Nothobranchius furzeri: one gene and its partner. The protein of the gene in region 1 interacts with the protein of each later gene in a pairwise test. Links are inferred from orthologs where the notes say so. Each region holds a gene or a part of one and is shown on either strand. Other genes may lie near its edges. The genes, in order: eml1 and isg20l2.

Region 1 (3,707 bases):
CATCATTAATAATGAGCCATCCTGTCCCACCTCAGCACCAGCAAACTTCTGCATCTCAGAACAGGAGCATCACAGCTTTTTTATTTTAAATTACTTATAAGGGATTGGTTTATACTAGAGAACACTGCAAATGTGTTGAATGAATGGGTAAACCACACCTTTAATACTCTTTTGTGCGTTCGTCCCGTGTTTTTGGCCGTACTCCATATTTTTGTTCTTTTCTTACACAGTTTAGTGAAAGTTATTTACCTTACATGTTTCTTCTAGTAGCTCTAGCCATCATCAGAGATTGTCGATGATGGTGGCATCAAACATGTAAGGTAAACAAATAACTTTTACTAAACTGTGTAAGAAAAGAACAAAAAAAAAACCGGATTACACACCTTTATTAATTTAACTATTTATGGACAATACAGGCAGTTTTAGTTAAGATCACCTAAACAAATAAGTGATAATAGATTATTAAACGTGTCTAATTCTAGCTGTGATCGATGCTTCTGAATATTTGGGTGTTTTTTTCTGACATGTTTTATAAGAGGGAGGGGATTTTGCTTGACCGCTGCTTTCCTGAGTTGTTCATTATAAAATTAAAAGGAAGTTTAAAGGTTAGAAAATGTGCCGTGCTTCAGTTTTTGTTGCAGCGTTCTTGGTTCTCCGTCAGTCTGGATCCAGGATCTGAGGGTTAGGGCTTGCCTTTGGTTCTGTTGAGTTGGACTCCTTCTGTGTCGCTGATGACGAGGATAAAACATGAGAGGAAGAGGATTTTTCTATACATGTAGTGTGAACAAGTAAGATGAACAAAAGGAGGATCGTTGTGTTTCGAGCTGCTGCTTCTTACACTTCCTGCTTTTCATCTAGTTTGTGAGCAGAACCTCAGACCGCTTCAGTTATTCCGATCCGTTTCTGTTAGAGTTCACATCAGTTTGGTTTTTTTTAGTGCAGTTCAGAACAGTTTTGCTTCTGCTGGGCTTCAGTGTCAGCGTCCGCTCCCTCAGACTACCCTCCACTGCATGACGCTCATGTCCTTCCCACCGGTCGACACCAGGAAGCTGTCATCAAACAGGAAGCTCACGTTGGTCACATGACTGCTGTGGCCACTGTAAACATGGCTGGGAGCCTGGAGCGGAAACGTAAATCAGATCTTTAAATAAATAACCTGCAATTTAAACTTTTTTCTTCTTCTTGCATGAGTGGCCTCTTACCCTGAACTGTGCGCAGGGATAGGAGAAGAGATGGACCTTCCCAAAGTCGTCTCCAGTAGCCAGGAGGTTCCTGTCACTGGACCGGCACGCTGCGTTAACGTCGGTTCCGTCTGAGCCGTCGGGCCACAGGCCTGAGAAGAAACAGAATCATCAGAAGTTTGCACAGGATCACAAAAGAGGGACAGGAACTGAAGCGTCACTCACCAAAGACATGGAAGCCCAGAGTGCAGGTGTAGGTGGCCCAGTCGATGTCTCTGGTGGTCTCCACGCTCACTACCTGCTTACACACTGATGGGATCCCTGGAGGTGAGAAGAAGAAGACGTTTTTATTTAGGGCCTTTCAAACACAATAGAAATAATTACAAAATAAAAACAATGATGAAAATAAACATTTAAAAATATAATAGATTAAGATTTAAAATAAAAAATACAAACAAGAACTGAGCTGTTAGAGACAGAAGCTGTCAACCAGACTTTAATGCAACTTTAAATCCTAACTTGATAATCTAACAGATTTAATCAGGAGAAAATATGAAATTTATGCTGATTTTTATTGTTTTTGTAATATGTTTTTATTTTATAGATATTTATTTTCAGTCAATATTATAATATTTATAATGTTGGGTTTTCAGCTTTCAGTTTCACAAGAAAAATCACCACCAACCCTGGTTCCTGCTGCTACTTATTAACGATTTAATCTGTGATCAGCACAGTGAACGGACCCAGATTAGCGGTTGTACTTACAGTACAGTATCTCATAGTCCCCTGAGTTGGACACCAGGTACTGAGAGTCCACGGACCAGTCCACATGGGTAATAAAACTGGAGTGCCCCTGATTATAAAAACAACAGGTTTAGAGGATTTATTCACATCCCTTTTTAAAACGGTATGATAATAAAAATAAAAGATGGGGCTCACAGAACACTTTCCAACTCGACTGTACTTCCTCCCATTTTCTGCCACAGCGTAGACATAGATGTAGTTGTCATGGGAACCAATAGCCAGGAAGCTACCATCTAAAGAAGATGAGGAGCAACAGGACAGCATGGCTTAGTCGTTGCCACTCCTGATTTAGATAAGAGGTGTCAGAAGACACGCTTTAGATGATGGCAAACAGAAGAAGTGCAACATGCCTGGCCCGTAGCTCATAACGGACAGCTGTTCGTTCCCATCTGTGTGGACGGTAACTAAATCCTTAGAGTCCGTGTCCAGGACCAGCCACCTGCACAGTTGGGGACAGACTTTTATCAGCTCCATGCTAACACAAATACTAACAGTCCAGATTAAGCAGCTGAATGGTTCTTGTACCGGCCAGTTTGGGTTCCCACGGCAACCACAGCTCCTGATGGGTGGAAACCAGCTGACTGGGCCGTATCCTGTAAAACAGATTTGCATATTCCTTTGGCAAATTGCACCCTAACCCATCCAGAGTCCGGTCCATCAGCTGTAATTCCCCATAAGAGACCCCAGAGGGCGGTGTTGGCTCAACTTACTTCCAGACTTTTAGTCCAGATGAGCTGATGGGTGTTCGAGTCCCACAGACAGACCTGCCGGTCGTATCCACAGGTCAGAAACTGAGACTTCAAGGGATGCACAGCCAGACCCCACAGCTCATCGACGTGACCCTGGAGAGGAGAATTTTAAAAAACAAGAAAACAGGGAAAACAAAGCTGTGACCTTTAGGCTGTTGCATCCACCTGTGTAATCGGCATGAACTCTCCATCCAAACTGCCTTGTAAAACAAAGTTCTTGGTGGTCCCGATGAGCACCGTCTCCCCTCGGCCTTCTGCGATGGTTCTGATTGGACCAAACAGCTCAGGCACCTGCAGATGCAAACATCAGACATCCGGCTGTTCACCTGGGAGACTTTGACGGCATCATCTGGCTTCCACGAAGCAAGTTATTAAGAAAACATAAGCATTGTTGCCATAAAAATCCATGGAGCTCATTAAAATAAACCAAATTTATCTCAGCCTCAGTGAGATTTATTCAATAATGCATCACTGGTTTGCTGTCTGCAGCTCATTAAACATAACATAACATTTTCTTTCTTTCTAATCTGATTTATTTCTTAATAGAAACATTGTCATTACCCCCCGATGATGTTTCTTTAGTCCAGATAAGGAAAGTCAAGCTGTGTCTTTGATGGGACACAAAGATAATGAGGGCGAATGCTTGTTTCTTTAACAAACCTGTTCTGGTCTCTGAATTAATGTCCTGTGAGTCTGTTTCAGGAGGTAGAAGTTAGTCGGAAGAGTGTTGGGCAGGATTAGGATTCTTACTCATTGGTTTTCATGATGTGCACACATCTTGCTTCTGATTGGCTAAGAGCAATGCAACTCTTCCACAGCCTCCATTTGCTCTGCAACAATTAAAGTTTTATCTCCACAAATAACACAAACCAGAAGGAGTTCTGCCATGTTGCTAATGCTAACAGTTAGCTTCTACTAGCCGAGGCATGCTCTACTCTCTCCTGGGTGCAAAATCAACACAGTCTTCCACGGC
Region 2 (4,481 bases), on another chromosome or scaffold:
CTCATATTAAAAATATCAACTTCATGGCAGAAATAAACATGTTTACAGCCTGGTTCAAAAAAATAATTTAGGTTTGATAAGTCTAGTTTACAGCATCCAACAACTCGGTGAGTTGATGCATGCTTCACATTAGTCGCTCAACTGCATTTTTCTGGCTAAAAGCACCCGTAAACCTCCATTAGCTTGTAGCTGCGAGCAATGGCGGACTGAGATCCTCAAAATTCTGCTCTACACCTCTTTGCTCATTTTTGTATTGTCCAGGCGTGTTGAGATGAGTGACTTGGCCAGCATTGCAATGATCAGAACCGTAGGTAAAAATGTCTTAATAGCAGACTGAGTGAAAACTGTGCCTCGTTACCAAATTCTGCAGAATATTGTCTCTGAACCACAACTGATTGTCTCAGACCCTGAAGTCCGCCTGATGTCTTCCTGAGGTCTCCACCTGTGTTTTATTCTCTGATTAGCATAGCAACTAAATTTGCATACCTGGATGTCCCGATTGAAGATGGCTTTGGTGAGTCTCTTCAGCGATGCACATTCTCTTTCACCAAAACCTGCCTTCAGATTAAGGAGCGAGATTCGGGATGTGTCCCTCGTCATGGCAGAGGGGTGGGTATAACTGAGGGCCTTGAAGTCATTATGGATGGCGTGGCCAATAACGATCTTCCCCATGAGCAGCCTCAGAATCTGTGGAGATCAAATTTTGTTTCTTGTTCACTGGAGTCCAGCTCAAGTGGCAACAAAAAAAATTAATCAGATAGTTTTTATGTTGACATGTTGGGAAAAAAATAAACTTTTTCTGTTAATGATTTGTTTCCCCACCTCCTTCCTGGCTTCTGCATAAGGCATGGCCTTCTCGAGGTCTCTTGGTCGAATCCCGCTCCATCTGGTGCGATAATCAGTGACAGGCATGGAAGGTTTGATGAACTTATCATAGATCACGTCTCCATCGTACGACACAATGCTGCAGCGTGCGAGCTGGCTGATGCTGCCTTTGGGTCCCGTTCCCACCATCTCACAGTCAATGGCGAGGTATTTTGTGGGGTTCCCCACTGATGCTGTTGTGGCTTTGTGGCTGCCTGATGCTGAAGGCCCAGGGACCGCTGCAGCTCTGTTTGCATTCATAGAGTTCTTTGGCTTTACATAGCTACCATCGTTTTTCACAGTGAAGCTCATTGACGGGAGATTGTGAGAGGATGCTGAAGACTTCGAGGCACTTACAGTGGTGGCACAATTAGGTGGTAAACTATTAATTTGTGCGAGTGTGGGAAGTTGTGGATTATTTGGGCCTGCTCCATTCTGGTGGTGAGTTTGGTTGTATCCCCAGTCTTTCCTAAAGTGGTTGTGATTTTGTTTACCTTTCAGGTATCCCTTTGCCTGTAAGTACTGCTTTTTTTTATGGAATGGCTTCTTTTTCCTCTTCCCCTTTTCTGCTGGAGGACCTCTTTGTGAGGTGTCATTCGATGAGCTAATGTGGATCGTGAGATCTGACATGTTAACATCAAATCTAACGTTTTCCTTTTTACGACTGTGCACAAAGATATTCTTATTCAGACAGCCTCAACAGGTCCCTTCTCTTTGTATTCTGGTTGCTATCAGATGAAGCCAGGTCAAATGCAACACCCTGCAAAAACAAATAAATAAATGAATAAATAAAACAAAACCGGTTATTGAAAAACCATATTGTAGCCATTATATATTTTCACCACCATGGTTTTGCTCAGATTTTCCCGGTTTTTTTAAATTGATTTCAGTTTCTAATCACTCTGCCCTTTTGCACTCATTCTTCAGGTCAATGGTGTCAAATCCTGGCCATTAAGTGCCTCTTGTGCCACCTGTTCAGAGGCTTGTTAATCAGCCGCTAACTGAAAACGGGTGTGCTGAAGCAGAGAAACCATAAAATACGCATGACGGTGGCCCACTGCTTTTAACCTAAGGTAATTTTTAAGTATGTACCACAACATAAACGCTGTCTGCTCAAATTTAGCATATTTACTGAGCTCTAGATCAGACTATTAAAGCTGGTCTTTCACCCTGATTTTTTTTAGCACTGACACAGCTTCAAGTAACTTGTTTCTCCTTCAGTTTTGCTTTTGTTGCAAACTCCGTTAGGCATTTTATTTGACAACTTGAATCAGTAATGCCAGTTTTATCGATTTTTTAGCTCCTGAAACAATGACAGGTCATCGCAATCATGGACGGTTTCTACTGTTCAACCGGTAAAAATGTTGCAAAACGTGTCAAGTACACGTACAAATGACTTGTTTATCAATGAGGTACTTATTCTGAGAGTGTTATTCTTCTAAACCAAAACCCGTACGTTTGAGCACGCCTTGATTACTGAAATAGAGCGTATAGACGGGTGGGGAAGCAATTCCCGACGGGACAACGTATAACGGTGGAACACCGGCAGGAGACGTTATGTTTACCTTGCCGTTGTATATTTGGAGCTTTGGTTGCTGTTTTCCTAGTTAAGTATTATAAAGCGCTTATTATCGTAAGCATGACAATATTGTTACTGTGCAGTAGCTTAACTCTTGACCACTGTTAACTCAACGGAACTAATGTTTACCAAAGCTAATGTTAGCTAGCTAAGCCAAGACTGGCGATCGTTACAACTGCAAATGAAGGTAACCGAACGGAAAATAGGGCTCGGTCTGAATTAACACTCTCGTGAGTCACTAACAAATTATTTATGAGGAAAGCTACAGAAATAACAAAGAAAAACTCAAAACAAGACCTGCTGCACGTCTCGAACAGTTCACAATAACGAACCATATCCGGGATATGCTGCCTTCAGGGACTATCCATAGCGTCGGGACGCTAGATTTTACGTCAAATTATTGTTAAACGTGGGGCTAGATTTCCTCTTTGTTTTTACATTTTTAACCTTTATTTCGAAGCAAAATATTAAAATCATCAAAAAGTCCAAACGTATGTGCATTTTATTTATTTAGCTGTTGGTTGATCACTGATTATATGTAAAAATAAAATTGAAACAACAAATTACGAGGAACAAGTGAACGCATTCAGTCTGCAGTTGAAAGCGGTTGAAAGTTAGCCTCAGGGGTTCTTGTTAGCGTGCTGCTAGCCTTTCCTTCACGTTAAAACATTTTCTGCGGTATTTAACCAATTGGTAACACTGTAGTTGTATTTATATAGTTATAATTTTAACTGGAGCAGGAACGACGCCTTTATAAGCTAACGCATGGTAGCATTAGCTGTGAACAAGTCCCATGTCAAAAGAGCAGTTAGAAAATGTGGAAGTGTTTACATCGAGTTTTTCTTCGGAGCAACAAAAAGAGCTGGCGAACAGACTCATTACTTTTCTGTCTCAGTACAGCCACCTGAGCGACTCCTTTATCATTGTACGTATAAACTCCTGCATATCTTTATAATCTGAAATATCAGGATATAAAGATAAGATGACAAAACCATGCACAGTGCACACAAATGATCTACAAAGGAAATGGAGCTTTAGAATAAAGAACTGTTTCTTACTCGTTTTTCAGGAGTTCTTCTCTGAAAATTTGTGGGACACGCTACCCAAAACCTGGCAGGCTGTGCTGCAGGACCTTTCATTTCCACAAATAGCAGACTTATTACTGGATGCTGCTAATAATAATAGAAGGTAATGCGGGAATATAATCAGCTTCAAAATCACCTTCAAATTAACTTAATTTATAATTACATTGGAGCTTTAGGACAACATGTATTAACTGTCATTGATTATTAATACAATTGATGTATTGAGATGACTCCAGAGACTTTGTGATTGCAGGTATCCTTCGGTGTGGCCCCTGTCTCTTTTGGCTTTCCGTGCCACCGCTCATGCCCTGACGTTTCCCAGAGAACCCAGGTGTGATCGAGGCAGCGTAGCTGAGCCGAAGAAGCCTGATGAGTTCCTGGAAAACCACAGCCAGAGCTCCCTGCTGGGACACATATTCAGAAAACACGTTAAACCCAAGAAACAGCATGAGATCCGAAAACTTGGCATGGTACAGGAATCCTTGTTGGCTGTAGTTATTTCTCTATGAAGTGGTTATAAAATGTTTAGTTGTTGTTTTATTGAGTGTTTTGAGTTGTTGTTTTGTTCCACAGCTGGTTAAACAACTTTGTGAACAGACTGGCTGTAGGAGGGTGGTGGATGTGGGCTCTGGGCAGGTATTACTTTATCCTCTATTAGTAGCATTTTAATCATTCTGTATCTTATATTTCTACATTGTGTGTCATGAGCCAAATGTGTAAATCTTCTCAAAATGAACTTAGCATCATGTCTAATGTTTATTTCTACACAGGGTCACCTAACACGTTTCCTGTCCTTTGGGCTCAGACTGTCTGTGACCGCTATCGAGGCTGATCCTACTCTTGTTGCTATGGCCTCCAGATTCGATGGTGAGTTACTTTGGGTCCTGGAGAAGGAAAAACATAAAAAGGTTGGTCATTTGCTAAATTTATTCTCATTGTCATCTCATCCAAAA

What was found.
Region 2: the proteins of eml1 (region 1) and isg20l2 interact in binary tests that used the Homo sapiens proteins (3 or more experiments, as listed by UniProt). The two-hybrid records come from large-scale screens. The link is inferred for Nothobranchius furzeri from reciprocal best matches to the Homo sapiens genes EML1 and ISG20L2.

The regions. Positions count from the first base shown.
Region 1 is NC_091758.1:30,955,737-30,959,443, reverse strand, and holds the end of eml1 (echinoderm microtubule-associated protein-like 1), read right to left. Parts: intron 3,026-3,707; coding exon 2,900-3,025; intron 2,828-2,899; coding exon 2,696-2,827; intron 2,579-2,695; coding exon 2,511-2,578; intron 2,425-2,510; coding exon 2,336-2,424; intron 2,219-2,335; coding exon 2,121-2,218; intron 2,035-2,120; coding exon 1,947-2,034; intron 1,503-1,946; coding exon 1,407-1,502; intron 1,334-1,406; coding exon 1,203-1,333; intron 1,118-1,202; coding exon 992-1,117; 3' UTR 682-991; downstream 1-681. UniProt on the Homo sapiens protein: Modulates the assembly and organization of the microtubule cytoskeleton, and probably plays a role in regulating the orientation of the mitotic spindle and the orientation of the plane of cell division.
Region 2 is NC_091745.1:67,407,302-67,411,782, forward strand, and holds the start of isg20l2 (interferon-stimulated 20 kDa exonuclease-like 2), read right to left. Parts: upstream 2,826-4,481; 5' UTR 2,741-2,825; intron 1,625-2,740; 5' UTR 1,495-1,624; coding exon 823-1,494; intron 688-822; coding exon 487-687; intron 1-486. Other genes in the region: mettl25b (methyltransferase-like protein 25B), read left to right, coding at 3,237-3,368, 3,513-3,631, 3,782-3,998, 4,102-4,164, 4,299-4,436. UniProt on the Homo sapiens protein: 3'-> 5'-exoribonuclease involved in ribosome biogenesis in the processing of the 12S pre-rRNA. Displays a strong specificity for a 3'-end containing a free hydroxyl group.